Macaca mulatta: one gene and its partners. The protein of the gene in region 1 interacts with the protein of each later gene in a pairwise test. Links are inferred from orthologs where the notes say so. Each region holds a gene or a part of one and is shown in the gene's direction. Other genes may lie near its edges.

The links.
Region 2: the proteins of KLC3 (region 1) and CEP57L1 interact in binary tests that used the Homo sapiens proteins (3 or more experiments, as listed by UniProt). The two-hybrid records come from large-scale screens. The link is inferred for Macaca mulatta from reciprocal best matches to the Homo sapiens genes KLC3 and CEP57L1.
Region 3: the proteins of KLC3 (region 1) and BICDL2 interact in binary tests that used the Homo sapiens proteins (3 or more experiments, as listed by UniProt). The two-hybrid records come from large-scale screens. The link is inferred for Macaca mulatta from reciprocal best matches to the Homo sapiens genes KLC3 and BICDL2.
Region 4: the proteins of KLC3 (region 1) and TSNAX interact in binary tests that used the Homo sapiens proteins (3 or more experiments, as listed by UniProt). The two-hybrid records come from large-scale screens. The link is inferred for Macaca mulatta from reciprocal best matches to the Homo sapiens genes KLC3 and TSNAX.

What each region holds. Positions count from the first base shown.
Region 1 is NC_133424.1:57,869,741-57,874,973, forward strand, and holds the end of KLC3 (kinesin light chain 3), read left to right. Parts: intron 1-208; coding exon 209-278; intron 279-702; coding exon 703-922; intron 923-1,405; coding exon 1,406-1,493; intron 1,494-1,568; coding exon 1,569-1,670; coding exon of another isoform or gene 1,671-1,943; exon of another isoform or gene 1,944-1,967; intron 1,968-2,162; coding exon 2,163-2,336; intron 2,337-3,085; coding exon 3,086-3,176; intron 3,177-3,253; coding exon 3,254-3,291; intron 3,292-3,360; exon of another isoform or gene 3,361-3,379; coding exon 3,380-3,486; intron 3,487-3,684; coding exon 3,685-3,748; intron 3,749-3,877; exon of another isoform or gene 3,878-3,990; coding exon 3,991-4,062; 3' UTR 4,063-4,171; downstream 4,172-5,233. Other genes in the region: ERCC2 (general transcription and DNA repair factor IIH helicase subunit XPD), read right to left, coding at 4,296-4,388, 4,874-5,017, 5,180-5,233. UniProt on the Homo sapiens protein: Kinesin is a microtubule-associated force-producing protein that may play a role in organelle transport. Plays a role during spermiogenesis in the development of the sperm tail midpiece and in the normal function of spermatozoa.
Region 2 is NC_133409.1:14,268,340-14,273,182, forward strand, and holds part of CEP57L1 (centrosomal protein CEP57L1), read left to right. Parts: intron 1-1,027; coding exon 1,028-1,105; intron 1,106-1,220; coding exon 1,221-1,465; intron 1,466-2,577; coding exon 2,578-2,722; intron 2,723-4,736; coding exon 4,737-4,843. UniProt on the Homo sapiens protein: Centrosomal protein which may be required for microtubule attachment to centrosomes.
Region 3 is NC_133425.1:4,274,812-4,280,009, reverse strand, and holds part of BICDL2 (BICD family-like cargo adapter 2), read left to right. Parts: coding exon of another isoform or gene 1-54; exon of another isoform or gene 55-390; intron 391-654; coding exon 655-966; intron 967-4,271; exon of another isoform or gene 4,272-4,754; coding exon of another isoform or gene 4,755-4,841; intron 4,842-5,098; coding exon 5,099-5,198.
Region 4 is NC_133406.1:17,465,012-17,470,045, reverse strand, and holds part of TSNAX (translin-associated protein X), read left to right. Parts: intron 1-3,096; coding exon 3,097-3,224; intron 3,225-5,034.

The sequences.
Region 1 (5,233 bases):
CCCAACCCTCCACAGAGCCCCCAGACCCACCAGAACTTCCGCAGACGCCCCCACTAGCTGCTCCCCGAAGCCCCCGGGCCTCGCCAGTCCCCCAGGGGGCCCCTGACGCTCATGATCACCACCTCCCTCAAACCCCGAGATAGATGCAGGGCTCCAGTCTCTGAAACAAGCCCCCCTCCCCCGGCCCCCCACTTTCCTGTCCCTGCAGCAGTCTGAGTCCCCGCCTCGCCGAGACAGCCTGGCCTCCTTGTTCCCCAGCGAGGAGGAGGAGAGGAAAGGTGGGTATCGGGAGTACATGCCACAGATGATGGCGGGCCAGGGTGGGGAGCGGGCTCTGAGCTGCAGAACCCCAAAATCTCTGAACAGGGATGGGGAGGTGAGGGCAGGGTCAGGAGGACCCTGAATGTGACAGTGAGCAGGTGAGGCTGGGAGCTGCGAAGACAGGGTAGCTGCCATGAGCCCGGCAGGCCCCGTATTCACATCTTGCAGGGCAAGTGAGCTGCCATGTACCTGTCCCGAGGCCAGGATGCATCCCACCAGCTGGTTAGATGCTAGTGACTCCAATCTCAGAAGTTAACATGGGGGCCCATAGTCCCAGGGGCCAGTTAGGCAGTCTGGGGCGTGTGTCTCCTCGTGCGAGGATGGAGGGGCAGGAGGCTTAGGAGGCTTGCAGTGACCCAGAGCCCACCCTGCCCCACCCAGGTCCTGAGGCCGCAGGAGCAGCAGCAGCTCAGCAGGGTGGCTATGAGATCCCTGCCCGCCTTCGGACCCTGCATAACCTCGTGATCCAGTACGCGGGGCAGGGCCGGTATGAGGTGGCGGTGCCCCTGTGCCGCCAGGCCTTGGAGGACCTGGAGCGCAGCTCGGGCCACTGCCACCCTGACGTGGCCACCATGCTCAACATCCTGGCACTGGTATACCGGTGAGATGCGGCCGGCCATGATGGCAGGGGGCAGGAACGGCAGGGACCCATTGGGTGCAAGTGGAGGGACCCTGGTCCCCTCTGCCACCATGGAGCACCTGGGGAGGTCGGAGGAGGGGACAGCCAGAATGGGAAAGGAAGGGAAGGCTCCTGCTGTAAGAACGGCAAAGAGGGAGTGGGCCAGGGATCTGGCGGGTTGGCGGGGCACTGAGTCAGGCAGAGAGGAGTCAGAGCACAGACACCAGGGACCCCAAGAGCAGGCAAGAGAACTGGGGTGGTTAGAAGCTTGGCAGAGGTCTGGGGATACAGGGCCTGGTGTTAGAGAATTGGAAGGTATGTAAGGGCCCATAAAAGGCCCCCAAAGGGTGCTACCCATGCTTGGTTCAGCCAGGTTCCCTGGACCTGCCAGAATTAGCCCAGCCCCTGTGGCTGTAGCTGCCCCAACCCCCGGCCAACCCCCGCCATCCCTGGGCTTCCACACAGGGACCAGAACAAGTACAAAGAAGCCACAGAGCTCCTCCATGATGCCCTGCAGATCCGGGAGCAGACGCTGGGCCCTGAGCACCCTGCGGTGAGTGGGGCCCCAGGGAGACGAAGTGGGGCCATGCCTGCCCATCCCTGACCTGTGTCTCCCCCAACCCCACAGGTGGCCGCCACGCTCAACAACTTGGCCGTCCTCTATGGGAAGCGCGGGCGTTACCGGGAGGCAGAGCCCCTGTGCCAGCGCGCTTTGGAGATCCGAGAGAAGGTCCCATCCCCCTTACCCAACCCCGAGGAACCCCTTGTAGCCCTCTCCATGGATCCTGAGCACTTACATCGTGACCCTGATCCTCGGGCCCCTTGCGTTTGGTACTGGGAGACCCCAATTGGAGCCCAACCCATCACCCTCGACCTTCTGAGATCCCAGTTTGGTCTTGACCCTGACTCTGACCTCTTGCCTTACCTCACACGCCACCCCCCAACTAGGTCCCGCCACAGCCTTTCCAACCCCTCATGGCCACTGGCACAAGCCCAGCCCTGACCTACCCATCTCACCTTGTGCCCCGTGAGTTTCTGGATCACCTTGGCCTCTGACCTCAGTAATCCCGCTCGACGGTGTCACTTGTGCCCCAGCCCCCAACCTCTCAGGTCACTCTGCTTTGGCCCTGTAATCCCTAACTTGTGACCACCATACAGAAGTGATGTCACGTGTCCCACCAATCCTGTATGACCCCTCTGACTTGTGACCCCTGGCCCCCAGGTCCTAGGTGCTGACCACCCTGATGTGGCCAAGCAGCTCAACAACCTGGCCCTGCTGTGCCAGAACCAGGGCAAGTTTGAGGACGTGGAACGGCACTACGCCCGGGCCCTGAGCATCTATGAGGCCCTGGGCGGGCCCCATGATCCCAACGTGGCCAAGACCAAGAACAATCTGGTGAGGTCCCTGGGGCTGAGTGGGCCCAGAGTGGAGGGTCTGCCCTGGGGAGGCACCCATTGGTTGGGTACAGGGCACCATGGGGAGGGGTCCCCCTGAGGCAGGGCCCTTGGAGCAAGTGTCCTATCAGACACAGGAGCTGGCTCAGCACAGAACACGGAATCAGGAAATGCGTGAGTCCACGGGACCCAGGACAGTCAGTGAAGGGGAAGCTGGCAGGCACAGATGGCAGCAGCAGACATTTATTGAGCTCACTGTGGCCGGCTCCCCTCTTAGCTCTGTCCCCACATCACTAGTTCTTACAGTGTCCCTATGAGGTAGAAGCTGTCACTCTACTTTGCATGTGAGAAGAGAGGCCATGCCACCAGCCCAAAGTAGAGCAGACAGGCTCAGAAACAGGAGGTTGCCTGCCCTCCATCCCCCAGGCAGGAGGTAGGGCGGAGCTCCAAACCCCCTCTGCCCCAGGGCAAGGCTTTAGGCAGGGGCGGGATATGGCCAGGTCAGCACAGTAGAAAGTGGGACTGGGGCCAGGTGTGGTGGCTCACGCCTGTAACCCCAGCACTTTGGGAGGCCAAGGCAGGAGGATCAGTTGAGGCCAGGAGTTCACGACCAGCCTGGGCAACATACCAAAACCCTGTCTCTACAAAAAAAAAAGAAAAAAAGTGGGACTGGATGCAGTGTTGGGAACTGGGGTCCGAAAAGTTCCCAGACTAGAGCCAAGATCACCCAAGACACTCCCTTCTCCGCAGGCCTCAGCCTACCTGAAACAGAACAAGTACCAACAAGCGGAAGAGCTGTACAAAGAAATCCTCCACAAGGAGGATCTACCTGCCCCTCTCGGTGAGCCCCGAGCCCCTGCCTTCCCTCCTGGTGGCTTCTCTACGTCCCCATCTCGGTGTCCCCCATCTTTCCCCTAGGTGCCCCCAACACAGGCACAGCTGGTGACACAGAACAGGTGAGGATGGGCTGTGCTTCGGCTCCTGGGGAAGGCGTGAGGACTGCATGGGCTCGGAGATATGAGCAGCATCCCTGCCCCTCCCCAGGCCCTTCGCCGCAGCAGCTCCCTCTCTAAGATCCGCGAGTCTATCCGGCGAGGAAGTGAGAAGCTGGTCTCCCGCCTCCGAGGCGAGGGGGCGGCGGGGGCGGCCGGGTGAGTGTGGATCAGGTCGGCAAAGAGCCCTGACATCAGCAGAATTCATAGCCCACCCCCCACCCCTCCTGCTCAAGAACCTTCCATGGCTCCCATCTCCCCTGTGATACACATAGATCAAATCCTGTGCTGGAAAGCTCCCTCCTGGAGGGGCCACTCCTGGATTCACTCGCTTCTTCCCTGCTGCCCCCTTCGCAGAATGAAGAGAGCCATGTCGCTCAACACACTCAATGTGGATGGCCCAAGGGCTCCTGGGACTCAGGTGAGGGGACACCGGGGTCAAAAATGGAGTGGGGCCACGTGGGTAGGTGCAGAGATAAGGCAAAAGCAGGGCGGTCAGGCCGGCGTCAGAGTCAGCAGGTGGTGGGTGTGTTAAAAGAGACCCAGGACAGGAGCAAAGATGGGTTTTACTTGGGGTAGAGGTGAGATGGGTAGACGGTTGGCTGCCAGGCTGGATGCAGCACCTGTCCCTCCCCTCCAACCATCCCCTGTGCCTGTCTCCAGTTCCCCAGCTGGCACCTGGACAAGGCCCCTCGGACACTCAGCACCAGCACCCAGGACCTGAGTCCCCGCTAATATCCAGTGACCTGTGTTGGCCTCAGCTGGTGGGGGACGGGGGGGGTCTATCATCTCTTAGGTGCCCCCTGCCCTCTTCTGCGATTAAAGGCCGTGGATGTGACAGTGAGGAATGTCACCTGAGTTTATAAGACCTTCCAGCACCACCCCCGCTACGGCCTCAGAGCTGCTGGTTTAGGGCCAGGCAAGACTCAGGAGTCACCAGGAATCATTTATGGCCCTGCCCATCCCGCTCAGAGCTGCTGAGCAATCTGCTCTATCCTCTGCAGCGTCTCCTCTGATTCCAGCTGCTCCAGGCTGAGCAAGGACAGGCCCAGCTGATCCTCCTGCAGAGAACAGAGGAAAGTAAGGGGGGCACTGTCAGGAAGGGGCCCAGGCAGCTGCTGTACTTCCCCGACCACCCGCCCCCGATGGGCATTAGGGGTCTGAGACATGAGGGCCAGGATGTTTGAATTTGGAGATGTCAGTATAATCCAGAGTGGGCCATTCCTGTCCACATAAGAGGGGGCTGAGGGAGGAGCCAGCCAGGGCGTCGGAGAAGGACGGGCTTTCCCCAGGCCAGCACAGTCTCAATGCCTGATACCTCCTCACCCCAAATTCTCACCCTGCCTTGCCTGGGCCACCTGCTGGCATCTGTGGCCCCTCGAATCTCTCCCTACCCCCCAGAGCCTGGCATGCAGATGCACAATAAACTTCTCTCTGTAGAGGGCAGGAGGACAGGCTGGGGTTGGGGAGTGGGGAGAATCCAAGGGGCCTTTCTGGAGGAGGAGCTCAGCCTGGGAGGATGCTGGGAGGGGGATGCAGGCCTCACCCGGTGGAAGGGCTGTGCCATCTGCCGCAGGAAGTACTTGGCCACCTGGACACCCTCATCCACAGTCAGGTTGAGGTTGGCATCTGTGAGGTGCTCCTGGATCCAGCGGGGCAGTTTCCCCCGCTTGTCCCCACGGGCAAACCGCTGTGGGCAGAAGTGCAGGCCAGGGAGAGGACGTCAGCACCAGAGTCAGGGAGCCTGGGCCACCCTCCACCCTGTGACACACCCCATCTGGGAGATGAACGGGCAAATAGCCTGGTTTTCAGAGGCTGGGGTGCGAGCACAGGGGCACCCCTGAACCTGCACCTTGTCGGCAAAGACCATGAGGCCGTAGTCCGTCTTGCCCCGGATGGCCCGACC
Region 2 (4,843 bases), on another chromosome or scaffold:
CTAATCTGTTCACCATCTGTATATTTTATTATTTCAATATTATTATATAAATGGAATTATACAGTATGTAACTTTTTGAGATTGGCTTTTTTCCCTTGAGGTCCATCCAAGTTGTTGTATGTATCAATACATCCTTTTTATTTCTGCGTGATATTCCGCATTACAGATGTACCACAATTTAACTGTTCATCTGTTAAAGGATATCTGGAGTCCGGCATGGTGGCTCATGCCTGTAATCCCAACAGTTTGGGAGGCCAAGGCGAGTGCATCATTTGAGGTCAGGAGTTCAAGACCAGCCTGGCCAATATGGTGAAACCTCGTCTCTACTAAAAATACAAAAATTAGCCGGGCAGTAGTGGCACACACCTGTAATCCCAGCTACTTGGGAGATTAAGGCAGGATAATCGCTTGAGCCTGGGAGACAGAGGTTGCGGTAAGCCAAGATTGTACCATTGCACTCCAGTATGGGTGACAGAATGAGACCCTGTCTCAAAAAAAAAAAGGATATTTCGATTGTTTCCAATTTTTTAGCTATTACAGATAAAGCTGCTATGAACATTTGTATACATGTTTTTATGTGAACATAAGTTTTCATTTTTCTAGGATAAATGCCTAAGAGAGCAATTGTTGGGTCATGTAATAAGTACATTTTTAGTTTTATAAGAAACTGCCAAACTGTCTTCCAAAATGGCTGTACCATTTTGTATTCCCACCAACAATATGTGAGTGGTTTTATTTTCTCTGCATGCTTGCCAACATTTGGTATTGTCACTATTTTTTATTTTGGCCATTCTGATGGATGTGCAGTGATATTTCACTAATTTTAACTTTCATTTCCATAATTAATGATGTTGAATATCTTTTCATATGTTTGCCATACATATGTCTTTGTCAGTGAAATTTCTGTCCATGTCTTTTTGCCCATTTTCCAGTTGCATTGTTTTCTGTTGAGTTTTGAGAGTTCTTCATATCATAAATAACTTTTAAAATAATTTCTTATTTATGTTTTTTTCTTGTCAATCTCTAGAAAACTAAATGTATAAAGAGAGGACCACCTTGGCAAATTTGTTCAAAGTTTGGAGCACTGCCTTTTGTGGCTGAAAAGGTGAGAGGGGATAAAATGAAGATAGTTGTTCAAAAAAATTCCTGTTTCATTGTAAGTGCTATTAAAATATCTTCAGTCATTTAAAATTATTCTCAGTTGTTTCTTTTCCCATAAGTCCACCAGTGCAAACTGTTCTGTGAATGCAAGTATGCAAAACCTTTTGCAGAGGAGGCAACATCGTGGCCCACATATCCTTCAGAAACCTTTTAACGTGGCTGAGACTAGATGTCTCCCCAGGCCTTCTAGAACAACTTCCTGGTGTAAGGCTATTCCTCGTGACTCAGAAAAGTCCATTTCCATTTGTGACAATTTATCTGAACTTTTGATGGCAATGCAAGATGAGCTGGACCAAATGAGCATGTAAGTATTTATATATTTTTTTTTTAAGAGACAGTGTCTTGCTATGTTGCCCAGGCTAGTCTTGAACTCATGGTTTCAGGCAGTCCTCCTGCCTCAGCCTCCCAAAGTGCTGGGATTACAAGCGTGAGCCACCGTGCCTGGCCAGCAATTTTTATTCTTTATCAGGAGAAGTACCATATCACTTTTTCTTCTTAGTCTTAAGAACAATACCACTTATAAATTCTTAAAGGCCTTACTTAGCCATTTGGAAAGATTTGTTGTCACTATTTTTCATTGTATTTGTTACTATTTAAAATTTCAGTTCTTTATAACTACTACTTTTTCATTCTAAGGTATTTCTGTATTCCCAAGATCTGGACTGATAGCTACTACTGTCATTCTAACATATAGGATCTGATGACCTTAGATTAAAACTCACAAAAGCGTTTATAAGAAAAGCTCTCCTTTTGTGTTTTAGAATCTTTTAGCTGAATGAATTATTTAATTAGACAAGTAGGAATGTAATTCCTTGTTTTAGACTCTGGCTGGTCTGCATTACAGATTTTGAAGCATCTATAGTAAGGAAGATTTCCATATGGGATACATTATATTGTGCCCACTTGCTTAAATATATATTCAATAGAAATTCCAGAACTATGTGGTTTGGCTGACCAGCTAGTTGACCTAAGACATCTGTAGAAGATACAGCTGTTTCTGTTAACAGCATTTCAGTAGGCTAACTCCAAATCCAGAAATTTTTCAGGCAAATACTTCCACAGCTGGAATTCTTCCAAAGATCCTATATCAATAATGAGGAAGAAAGCCCTTTAATACCTCTGTTAAAGACATCACACATTTTACTACATTGAGCTATGAGCATCAGGAATTCACATATTTTTTAAAGTTGCTTAGCAGTCTTAAGATATTTGTAAAGGTATTTAATTTCAAATCACAGGAGCCTGGTTATAGTTACTGTAGATTTAATTAAACAACCCTAAAGAAAGATGCTGTTTTTAAAGGTTAATATTTAAGTCTGACTAAAATTTATGATTGAACAGAAAATTGCTTAATTATGGCAAAGACATATATGCAATAAACTATAGTAGTGCTTAATATTTGCTATTCTTTCATAGGGAGCACCAAGAACTACTGAAACAAATGAAGGAAACTGAAAGCCATTCAGTCTGTGACGACATAGAATGTGAACTAGAGTGTTTAGTCAAGAAAATGGAAATTAAAGGAGAACAAATCTCCAAACTGAAGAAGCATCAAGACAGTGTAAGAAGGCTTTACTAAGAGATTTTAATAAAAAGATAAAATGTGGATTCAGTGTTGTATCTCTGTACGACTTTCCAAATTTGAGGTCTGTATATGGGATTTAGTGAAAAGATGGATGGTAGTCACTTAGGCCTATGACAGAATAGAGCCATCTGTCCCACTGGAATAACATGGACCTCCTACGTAACTCTCCAAGTTAAAATTTTTTAAGTGAACAAATAGGTTCAGTTATGTATTCAGAAATTGCTTTGGGGAAATTGTGAGGTAAACTAAACTTGCCTTAGCAGCCCTCCAATTACCCTTTTAGCATTCTTTTTCCTCTTCCTTCTCTCCTCTAATGCTTTAATGATACCCCTTATGTCAGCAGGTCTCTTATTCACTACCAGACATAAACCTGGCTCCTAAGCAGTGCCCCAGTCCTTAAAGCATGATTTCCTCTTTCCCAAAACAGGCTGTGTTGTGTTCCATTCCCTGGGGACCTATACTCAGCTAGCTATAGTGAGTAGGACAGGGATGGTGAGGAAAACTCTATACTTCTGTTAAGATGTAATAACTAAGAATAGCTAACAGTTTTATTATTTTAACAGAAAAATCATGGAATATAATATTTAATTCCAAGACAATGACTCCGTAGGTTGAACTTGCAGCACTATTACACTGCTGGAGCAGAAGGCAGAGGGAGCCTTTCCCAGGAACCCTCAAGTCACCTCATGTAGCCATCTGCCTATGGACAAAATCATCATTCATATAAGTTAATGATATATGAATGTCACAAATAAGCCTCCCTGCCTTTTATAGGAAAGTAATAAAAGATGCAGAATATTATTACTTTTATTCTTATTGTGGGAAAGAAAGGAAGAAAGAAAGAAGTGACATTTTTAAAACAAATATTTTTATTTTACTGGCTTTTAAGGCTATAATAAGTAAAAATTTCTGTATGTTTTGGAGTGAAGATTATACAACTTGTACACTTTCTTGAAATTGCATAAGAGAAACTTGAAAGGAATAGAAGAATGATCATTTTTAAAACTCAGCTAGTATATATATACTATATTTTGAAAAACATGATATATATTCCATAATAGCTATACCAGTATAAATTTTAAGCACTTTATTATGATAAATGTAATATCTGTAATAAAAATTGATTATTAACTAAATAGAGAACTAGGTACTCACCCAAAGTCTGGGTCAGCTCTACAAATTCGACCTATGCTCAAGTGAAACAGATTAAGTAATGGGTTAGACTTTGAAGAAATGGGTTTTGGCTGGTTGATACGTATTGTTTTTGTTTAATTCTGTCTGCCTCCACTATTACCATATACTACTCAAGGTGATAAAGTTATTCCCTTGACTTTTTTTTAAACTGCCATTCAGGAGTACTTTAAATTCAGGAATATACAAAAGTATTTGTACACAAAGGTATTCCTGAATTTAAAGTACTCCTGAATGGCAGTTAAAAAAAACACACATATTTATACACACACACATATATATACACATACATACACACACGTGTGTGTATGTATAATTTTCAAAACTTGATACTCATTCCTAGAACCAATTATTAGATTTGCTGTTAATGTTACCAGAAAAGTTCTTCTCTCTGCTCTCTGTTCTCTGGTTTTTACCAGTTATCTTACATACAACCTTTCCCCCCAGTCTCTGCAGCCCACGTTGACCTTATCTTACTTTGGGCTTCTTACATATACACTTTTTGTCTTATTCAAAGTTATCCTGGTTCATTGTATTCTCTAGTTGTCACATATATGCTTTTTTTCACTAATAGGAGCAGTAAGCTCCTTGAAAGTAAGAACTGTTTTCTTCATTATAATTCTACCTGACAAGCACAGTGTTAGGCATGTAATAGATGTTCAATAAATTAAAAACTTACCGAATTGAACTTTTTAATGTTCAATTTTAATTTTTTAACTTTAAACCATCAATTCAACCTATTTTGGAATATATTTTTAGTATATTTTTGACTAAAATGTTAGATTTTTTTTCTCTCCAGGTCCGTAAACTGCAGCAAAAAGTTCAAAACTCAAAGATGAGTGAAGCTTCAGGTATTCAGCAAGAAGACAGCAACCCTAAAGGATCAAAGAACATAAAAAATAGCCC
Region 3 (5,198 bases), on another chromosome or scaffold:
GCCTGAGTCCTGTGGAAAGTGGGGACTGAGGTGGGAATCCTTGGTGGGGGACATTGGAGGTGGGGACCTCTGAGTCTGGAGGGTGGAGTCAAAGCACCTGCTCAGGAGGTAACAGGAGAATGAGTGCGAGAGAGCTGGGAGGTCAGCAGCCGGGATCCGGGCTTCTGGTAGGGAAGGGAGCTGGATTCCTGGGGGCGAAGACACCTCAGTTCCCAAGTCTTAGGGTCCTGCATTCCTAGGAGGAGAAGGGGCTGGGCTCAACACCAACTGCTGAGTCCCTGAGAACCTGGGTTCTGGGAACTGTCTCAGATGGCAAGGGGCTAGGAGCCAAACTGCTGGGTTCTGGGAAGAGAGGGGAGAGGGAGCGGAGGTGGCCTGTGGCCCTGGAGCACTGGAATGAACTTTCCTGGGGACAGAGATTGTCTAGCAGAGGCCAAAGGCTGGGCAGGTCATTTCCTTCTGCTTGCTGCCTCAGTTTACCCCAGGGACATTAACGGAACTGGGTGGCCAAAACACAGGTCATTAACCCTTCGTGGCTCAGGAAGCCCTGGCTGCAGGACCTGGCAGGCTGGCAGCAGGTGGAGAATTCCTGGAGGGCCAGGTGTTGGGCGGAGGGTGAGCCCCTGTCAGACTGCAGAGTAGAGTGTCCCGCAGTCACCTGTCCCCGCAGATGCTGCAGGTGACATGAATTCTCCAGATGGGCCCAGCTTCCCGTCGGGGCTGCTCTCGGGGGGCGCCTCTCCCAGCGGCGACGAGGGCTTCTTCCCCTTTGTGCTGGAGCGGAGGGACTCATTCCTGGGAGGGGGCCCAGGGCCTGAGGAGCCCGAGGACCTAGCCTTGCAGCTGCAGCAGAAGGAGAAAGACCTGCTATTGGCGGCGGAGCTCGGCAAGATGCTTCTGGAGCGAAATGAGGAGCTGCGGCGGCAGCTGGAGACGCTGAGCGCCCAGCACTTGGAGCGTGAGGAAGTGAGCTAGCACTGGACTGGGTGGGTGGCCGGGTGGGCAGAGGAGGATGGGTGGGCCTGGAGAGGACAAGGGAAGGGGGTCAGGCACAGGACGGAGAGAGGAGCCGGGGAGGACAGCGGGGCAGGGGGAGGACATTGGAACAGATCAGAGCTGGGTCCAGTCCCCCTGGCAGTGTTGCCTAGTGGTAAATAACAGGAACTCTGGGTGCCGGGCACAGTACCTCACACCTGTAATCCCAGCACTTTGGGAGGCCAAAGCAGGAAGATCACTAGCCCAGTGTTCAAGATCAGCCTGGGCAACATAGTGAGACTCTGTCTCTACAAAAAATAAGAAAATTAGCTGGATGTGGTGGTGGCACCTGTAGTCTCAGCTACTCAGGAGGCCGAGGCAGGGGGATCACTTGATCCCAGGAATTTTAGAGTTTGAGGCTGCAGTAAGCTATGATCCACTGCACTACAGCTTGGATGACAGAGTAAGATCCTGAAAAAAAAAAAAAAGAAGGAAGGAAGGAAGGAAGGAAGGAAGGAAGGAAGGAAGGAAGGAAGGAAGGAAGGAAGGAAGGAAGGGAGGGAGGGAGGGAGGGAGGGAGGGAGGGAGGGAGGGAGGGAGGGAGGGAGGGAGGGAGGGAGGGAAAAGAAAAGAAAGAAAAAAAAGAAAGGAAAGGAAGGGAAGGGAAAGGAAAAAAGGCGTGAATTCTCAGGCCAGGCATGGTGGCTCACACCTGTAATCCCAGCACTTTGGGAGGCTGAGGTGGCAGGATCACTTGAGGTCAGGAGTTCGAGACCAGCCTGGCCAACATGGTGAAACCCCGTCTCTACTAAAAATACAAAAAAAAATTAGCCAGGCATGATGGGGTGTACCTGTAGTCCCGGCTACTTGGGAGACTGAGGCAGGAGAATCACTTGAACCTGGGAGGCAGAGGTTGCTATGAGCCAAGATCATGCCACTGCTCTCCAGCCTGGGTGACAGAGTGAGACTCCGTCTCAAAAAAAATAAAAAATAAATAAAAAATAAAAAATAAAAAACTGGGTTCAGACCCTTGTCCAGCTGTGTGACCCTGGGTCAGCTGCTGGCCCTCTCTGGATCTTGTGTCTAGCTCCTCAGCAGTATCACAGAACACCAGGCAACAGTCATGGGTGTCTACACCCTGCCTGGCACTGGGCTGAGTGCTTTCCATGACTCTCCATTGATTCTTGCCCAGCCCAATGAGGCAGGAACAGTTCCCTCTACCCAGGTTCTATTTTTGGCCAAATTCTTGCTCTGGGGTTCACATCTGGTCTCCTGAACACCCTCCTTCATCTGCTGCACTGGCCCCAACCACTGCCCTGAGCCTGACCTGGGTAGCTAACCCTCTCCACCAGGCCACCTAGTGGGCATCTCAACACAAGTGGCACTTGATTCCACACCCTCGATTCCATGCCCACATCACCTGCTGTCCCCATCCTTGCCTTCCCACTTGAGGACCAGGGCCTGTGCACCTCCTTGGCCTTTTTTTTTTTTTTTTTGGCGAGACACGGGCTCCCTCTGTCACCCAGGCTGTAGTGCAGTGGTGCAATCATAGCTCACTGGAACCTCAACCTCATGAGCTCAAGCAATCCTCCCATCTCAGCCTCCTGAGTAGTTGGGACTACAGGCACACATGCACCACCATACCTGGCTAATTTTTGCATTTGTTGTAGAGATGGGGTCTCACCATGTTGCCCAGGCTGGTCTCAAACTCCCGGGCTCAACCAAACCACCTGCCTCAGCCTCCCAAAGTGTTGGGATTACAGGTGTGAGTCAATGCGCTCAAACTTTCTTGAATGTACAAACTCCCCCCAATATCCACAAGCCCTTTTAATTCTTCTAGACTAGACTCCAACCACCCACTTGTTGGCTCTGCAGCCTCCAAGCTGATCACAGATCACAGCCTCCATCACCTCTGCCCCAGACACTCCAGCCACCTGCTCCTGAGTCCCCAGCTTCCACTCTTTTATTATTATTATTTTTTAGATGGAGTCTCACTCTGTTGCCCGGGCTGGAGTGCAGTGGTGCGATCTCAGCTCACTGCAACCTCTGCTTCCCGGGTTCAAGTGATTCTCTCACCTCAGCCTCCCGAGTAGCTGGGATTACAGGTGTGTGCCACCAAGCCCAGATAATTTTTGTATTTTTAGTAGAGACGGGTTTTTACCATGTTGGCCAGGCTGGTCTCGACTTCCTGACCTCAGGTGATCCACTTGCCTCAACCTGCAAAAGTGCTGGGATTATAGGTATGAGCCACTGCGCCCAGCCCCCAGCTTCCACCTTTGACCCCTGGAGCCCATTCTCTAAGGGACAGCCCGGAATTTTCAAAAGCTGCAAATCACATCATTTCACTCCTCAACCAGAATCTCCCCCTCACACTTAGAATGAAACCGAAACTCTTCCCCAGAGCCTAAAAGTCCCAGCGAGCTGGGCTCCTCCCTGACCTCACCACAGCAACACCACCCCTTTCTCCCTTCCTCCAAGAAGGGCAGCCGATCCACCCTCTCCCCGACAATGAGGGCTCTTTTCAGTTCCTCCAAGAACTCACGCTTGTTCCCTCAGGAACTTTGCACTTGCTGTCCCTTAATGCCTAGCCTTCTTTCTGGTGGCTCTTCTTGTCCTGCAGAAGTCAACTCAAACACGACATCCTCCTTGAAGGACCCTCCACCCCCACCCCACTCCTTACTCTCCATCACTTCCTGGGTCTCTTTGCAGCCCTTACTGTCCCCCTGAAATTACCTGGCTCCGGCATGTGTCCATGCCCTCTGGACTCTAAGCTACTTGAAGCAGTGAACTTGGTGGTCTCATGTGCCGCTGACAGCAGACCCCAGAGCAAGCGGAGCTCAGGAAATATGGGAGGATTGATAGTAGTGTGGGTGAATGGACTTAGAGATATTGTGTCCAGGCCACAAGGCATCAGCAGAGCTGAATATCAGCCAGGACAATGTGACCTTGAACCTGACAGCTTAATCCTGAAGCTGTATTGTCCCTACAGGATTTGGTTAAAAGTTCTGCTGCCTGAGTTGGCATCCCTGCTTTGTGAAGTTATTGTGTGGGCATGGTGGCTCACGCTGGTAATCCCAGCACTTTGGGAGGCCCAGGAGGGTGGATTGTTTGAGACCAGGAGTTCAAGACCAGCCTGGCCAACATGGTGAAACCCCATCCCTACTAAGAAAACAAAAAAAAATTTGCCAGGCGAGGTGGTGCACACCTGTAATCTTAGCTACTTGGGAGGCTGAGGCAGGAGGATCTCTTGAACTTGGGAGGCGGACATTGCCATGGGCCGAGATTGTTCCACTGCACTCCAGCCTGGGCAAAAGAGTGAAGATCTGTCTCAACAAAATAATAATAAATAATAAAAACAAAAATAAATGACTGTGTGTCCTTAGGCAAGGCACTTAGCAACTATGAGCTTCAGTTTCATCTAAACCCAGGACATTAGTGATTCTCCCTCTAGTGGATGAAATGAAGTAATGCAGATAAACCCCTAATGCAGGGTACCTGCCAGTCACTGCAGTAGCTGTGACAATTGTCACCTTCGTCCAAGCCCATCCCGCTTTGAGGGCCTAGAGAGAGTGGGCCAGAGGTTAACCCCCGACTCATCTGCTTCCCCACGCTGGGCATCTGGGTGTGCCAGGGCGTTCCCCCGCTGGTCAGACAAGTTTTGGGGCCGGGGTGGGGCTGACCAGGGTTAATTAGAGGGAACTGGCTAGCAGGAGCTGGGGAGGGGGCTGGGCAGAGTCCAGGCCTCCAGAGCCCCTGGGACACAGCAGGTGTGTGCTGCCATGGGCCGGGGCTTGAACTCTGCCAGACTCAGGCGCCAAAAACGGCGCTTGCGACCTCGGGTCCAGAAGCCCAGGCAACAGCTGGAGGTGAGTGGTCATCAGAGAGCCCCATCCCCACCCTTGCCCTGGGCGCACGCGTCCTGTCTGCCCGGAACCTTCCCTCTAAATCTCTGGGTCTTGCTCATTCTTCCTCCCTCATTCTCCCTTGCTTTTGTGTCTATCTTGGACACAAGGCCCCCTTAGGCTTTCTCCCTAGGTGTCTGTCCCTCCATCCCCATCTCTCTGTGCCTGTCCAGTCTCATCGGTGCCTCTCTGCCTCTGTCCCTCTGCCCTGGCCCCTACAGCGGCTCCAGCAGGAGAACCATGAGCTCCGGCGAGGCCTGGCAGCCCGAGGAGCCGAGTGGGAGGCCAGGGCCGTGGAGCTGGAGGGGGACGTGGAGGCCC
Region 4 (5,034 bases), on another chromosome or scaffold:
AAAGAAGCTGTCCCCAGGCAGGTACTACCTGCTGCTGGCCACCGTGAAATGCTGGCTGCCCCACACTCAGAGGGCTGTGAAGAGGGGCACAGCAGAACCAGGCAGAGAGCTCTTTCCTTTACAGTTCTTTGAGCACCTAGCACCCTGTACCAGCAACGCTTAATATATTGCCAGCTGGCATAGGAGACATGCTTTAAGCATCTACCTCTTTTTTCTGAAATAATGGAAGTAAGAGACAAAAATTGACAAGTGATACACCTATTACTGGTCTTCTAACTTTAAAAAATTTTTTTGTTACAATGACGAACATCCTTGTATGTAAATCTTTGTGCATGTCTTCTTGTTTAGCTCGTAAGAGGCTAGCCACATTAGAGCATAGAGATGTGATTATTAATCTTTACGTTTTGCTGTTTGCTTTTGTGTGCGTGAAGTATCTTTAGAAGGAAATAACAGCGATTTTCTTTGAGGGGGGAACTGGATGGTGTCACCTATTCATAAAACTAATACTTCAAAAAATTAAACATTTAATAAAAATATTTTAAATTATAAATATAAATGACATCCTCTCTTTTGTTAAACTTAATCTTGTTAATGTTTAATTGCTCAGAACATTATAGTTTGTTAAACAAATTATCCCTTCTGACCTATATTTGGGCATCATTTGCAGCTCAGAATGAGTCGGGATATTTTCATTTAGTTAAGTTTACTCTTAGTGCTACCAAAACCAGGGTCACCCATTTTCCCTGGTATCCTTGACCTTTGCCTGGTGTTTGATGTGATGATACCATAGCTATTAGCCTCCCCAACACTGTTGCCGGCAGACCCGAAGTGTAGTGTCAGGTGGGGGAGATTTGTAAGTAGCAGGACTCTGTCATAAAAAATGTTGGAGAACTTAAGTATTATGATCCTGTTAAGTTCTGAGTTTTCTTTGCATAATCAGAAATGTATTCTCTTGCTGTTTTTACAACAAACCCTTAAAAAGACAAAGTTTCTTAAGCTAACAATAATTATAATTAAGAAATGCTTTTTCCATGTATCACCTTTTAGATTAAGACATAATAAAATAATATTGAAAATTGTGGCTATAGAATGTAGTTGTCTTAAAACACTTGGAAAAGTATAGTACTGTAGACATGTAACAAAATTGCACGTGTGGCCTTTACATTTATATAAAAAATTTTAAAACTATACTTACATTTTGATCTTTACCAAAATTTACTTTTCAAGAGTTGTTTCTATCTTGTACAAAACTGTATTACATAACTCTTTTTTGTTTAAACTACCAAAGCAGAAAGGAGTTACCTAGTCTTAGATCCATTTTGAACTATTAAGAGATAAACAGTATTTTCACATTTTTACCTACATTACTTAAAGTGATTTTGCCTATTAAAACTTTAAGAAAGATCCAAATGATTCTGTTTTTTAAAAATTATTTATTTATTTATTTATTTATTTTTGAGACGGAGTCTTGCTCTGCCGCCCAGTCTGGAGGGCAGTGGCGCTATCTTGGCTCACTGTAAGCTCCGCCTCCCGGGTTCACGCCATTCTCCTGCCTCAGCCTCCCGAATAGCTGGGACTTACAGGTGCCTGCCACCATGCCCAGCTAATTTTTTTGTATTTTTAGTAGAGACGGGGTTTCACCATGTTAGCCAGGATGGTCTCGATGTCCTGACCTCATGATCCATACGCCTCAGTCTCCCAAAGTGCTGGGATTACAGGCATGAGCTATCATGCCTGGCCCAAATGATTCTTAATTTTGTGTCTCATTTGTTTGAATCATTGCTTCATTAACCAGCAAAATACAACAAAAATCAATTTGTATAATTTTTATTAAAGTCTATCAAAATTTATGGAATAGGCTTTTCTTTTCTTTTTTTTTTTTTTTGAGACAAAGTCTCGCTCTTGTACCCCAGGCTGGAGTGCAGTGGCGCGATCTTGGCTCACTGCAAGCTCCGGCTCCCAGGTTCAAGCGATTCTCCTGCCTCAGCCTCCCAAGTAGCTGTAGCTGGGATTACAGACTCCTGCCACCACATCCAGCTAATTTTTTGTGTGTTTTTAGTAGACGAGGTTTCGCCATGTTGGCCAGGATGGTCTCGAACTCCTGACCTCAGGTGATCCACCCACCTCAGCCTCCCAAAGTTCTGGAATTATAGTCGTGAGCCAACCGCGCCCAGCAAGAATAGGCTTTTCTTAAATCCTTATTACTTAAACTCTTAAAATTTTTTTTTTCTGGCTGGGCACAGTAGCTCACGCCTGTAATCCCAGCACTTTGGGAGGCCTGAGGTGGGCGAATCACCTGAGGTCAGGAGTTCAAGACCAGCCTGGCCCACATCGTGAAACCTCGTTTCTACGAAAAATACAAAAATTAGCCAAGCGTAGGGGTGGGCACCTGTAATCCCAGCTACTCTCTGGAGGCTGAAGCAGGAGAATTGCTTGAACCCAGGAGGCGGAGGTTGCAGTCAGCCAAGATCGTGCCAGCCTGGGCAACAAGAGCAAAATTCTGTCTCCAAAAAAAAAAAAAAACCCTAAAAATCTTTGATATTTCTCTCTGTAGGATAAAGTAGAATTTTAAGACTAATGACTTATGATGTAGAAAGAAGAAACTGAATACATTTATATATGAGCTGTCACAGGAATGTTTGCTTTGTTCAGTGGCAGTTCCCACCATCTGTGCCATTCTTTTTTTTTTTGAGATGAAGTTTTGCTCGCATTGCCCAGACTGGAGTGCAATGGCATGATCTCAGCTCACTGCAGCCTGCAGCCTTCGTCTCCCAGGTTCAAGTGATTCTCCTGCCTCAGCCTCCCTAGTACTGAGATTACAGGTGCCCGCCACCACACCTAGCTAATTTTTGTATTTTTAGTAGAGATGGGGTTTTGCTATGTTGGTCAGGTTGGTCTCGAACTCCTGACCTGCCCCGCACCCGGCCTCCATGCCATTCTTTCTATTCCAAGTATCTAGTCTAGTAGTGGCATTATAGTAGGCATCCATTAAGCTTTTTTTTTTGAGCTAGATGATGATCAATTTGAAGTTTTTTATTATGACATTCTTATAATTAAGTGCTTATTCTGAGTTAATTTTCTTTGTCGTGTTTTCAGGACTACAGGAATATGTGGAAGCTGTCTCTTTTCAACACTTCATCAAAACACGATCATTAATTAGTATGGATGAAATTAATAAACAATTGATATTTACGACCGACGACAATGGGAAAGAAAATAAAACTGTGAGAATTTAAAGTTTATTTCACATTTATGATATAATTTATGTAACAGTATGATGATTCTAGTAGATTTATTGGCTTATGCTGAGACTGAGATGGGAATGTTCTTTCTAAAGTGTGGTTTTGTAGAGTCTCAACTAGGAAATGGTCTTTTTAAATATTTCAGTTAGTGGATAGAACAAGAACAACTCTGGGCATATTGGGAAAGTAATGCTCTTTACCTAAAGCGTTATGGAGTGCTTACTGTAAGTCCTCTTTTGGTTTTACTCTCTATTTTTCACCTGCCCTTTGTAAGCACTATCTTATTTAATCTTTGTATTAACCGTATGTGGTAAGCATTATTACTCTCATTTTACACAGAAAGAAACAGGCTTTTAGAGAGGTTAGGTAACTTACCAGAAGCCACACAACTAAAAAGTGTAGCAGAACTAAGATTTGAAGTTAGGTTTGGAATCCAAGCCTGTGCCCTTGTCTGCTCTCCCAGCACTTCTCACAGTGTGCTACAGGGATCCCTTGCATCAGGTACCTACCTCAAAGGGTTGTTTTAAAGGATTTGACCTAAAGGTTATTAATTAGGCAATATACAGCAGCACCTGACACGTAATATACATTGTATATAGCACCTGACACGGGAGTGCTCAGTAGTTTGCTGTTATAAAGTAGTTTTTATATAGTGAGAGCTGTTAATCATTTACTCAATAATGCTTGTATCTGAAATTTATGTAGCTTTTCTGAGTTAAGAAAAAAAACTTTGCAGTTTGACTTTTAAACAAATACTATTTTTTTCCTTCTGGGTTTCAAGATATAACATTCAGGCAATAAGGTAAGCTGTATTGACTATTTGATACTTTCAGAGATACCAGTACACTTAAAGATCAAATTAAATAAAATTTTTAAATTTTCATATTTTTTATCTTTTTAAAATCACTTTTAAAAACACCATATATTCAGGATAGGTAGGCAGGAGATGGAAGACACTGTAGAAATAATATTTTCTTGAATATCAGCTAAAATATTAAAACAAATGAGACTAATTTGGCATGACAGGTATAACTTACTTTAAGGAAGCCATGTATTAACTTTTTAAATTATATAAAGTGTATTAAGGAGGAAGTTTATTTTGAGAAGTAACATTTCTTCATATTTTTTATTCGTATAGTGTAGACTGAATTGCACAAAGAAGTAAAGCAGGCCTATTTGACCCTGCTTCTCACATAATATTAGGGAAGTTTCCACACTTTCAAGTTCTCTCTGTTTCAAAATGAAAATATTGGGGAAAAGGCCAGAAAATTGAGAGTCAGAGTACTGTTTTCAGGACTTAGGTACTAGATTATTTTAAGATTATGGGGCTATAATGTTCATACACACGTTTCAAATTAAGACTATGTTCATAAATAAGTTTTAGTGCTAAAGATGCGTGGTGCTGAAAATTCTGGGAATTTGATTGGGAAAGGTATTTTGCTCTTACTTGCCTGTTGAGAATATTGTCAAAACTATGTAATCTTTATTTAAAAAACTTTTTGTGAAAAAATTTCAAATGTGCAGAAAAATAGATTAGAAACAATAGTGCCACTAACTAGCTATCATATTCCCATAGCTCAACATCATATTCCCATAGCTCAACATCATATTACCTGTGATGTTTCTCTGGCCTGATTTCTTACGCTAAACGATGAGGACGTTGCACCAGATGGTCTCTGCAGAGTTCAGTGTTAGGAGTCATATATTAGATACATAGCAAAGAGTGATCTTAAGAAAGCTATCTCCCTCTTCTCAGCTTACATTTATGTAACTTCCTTTAAACTTGAATCAA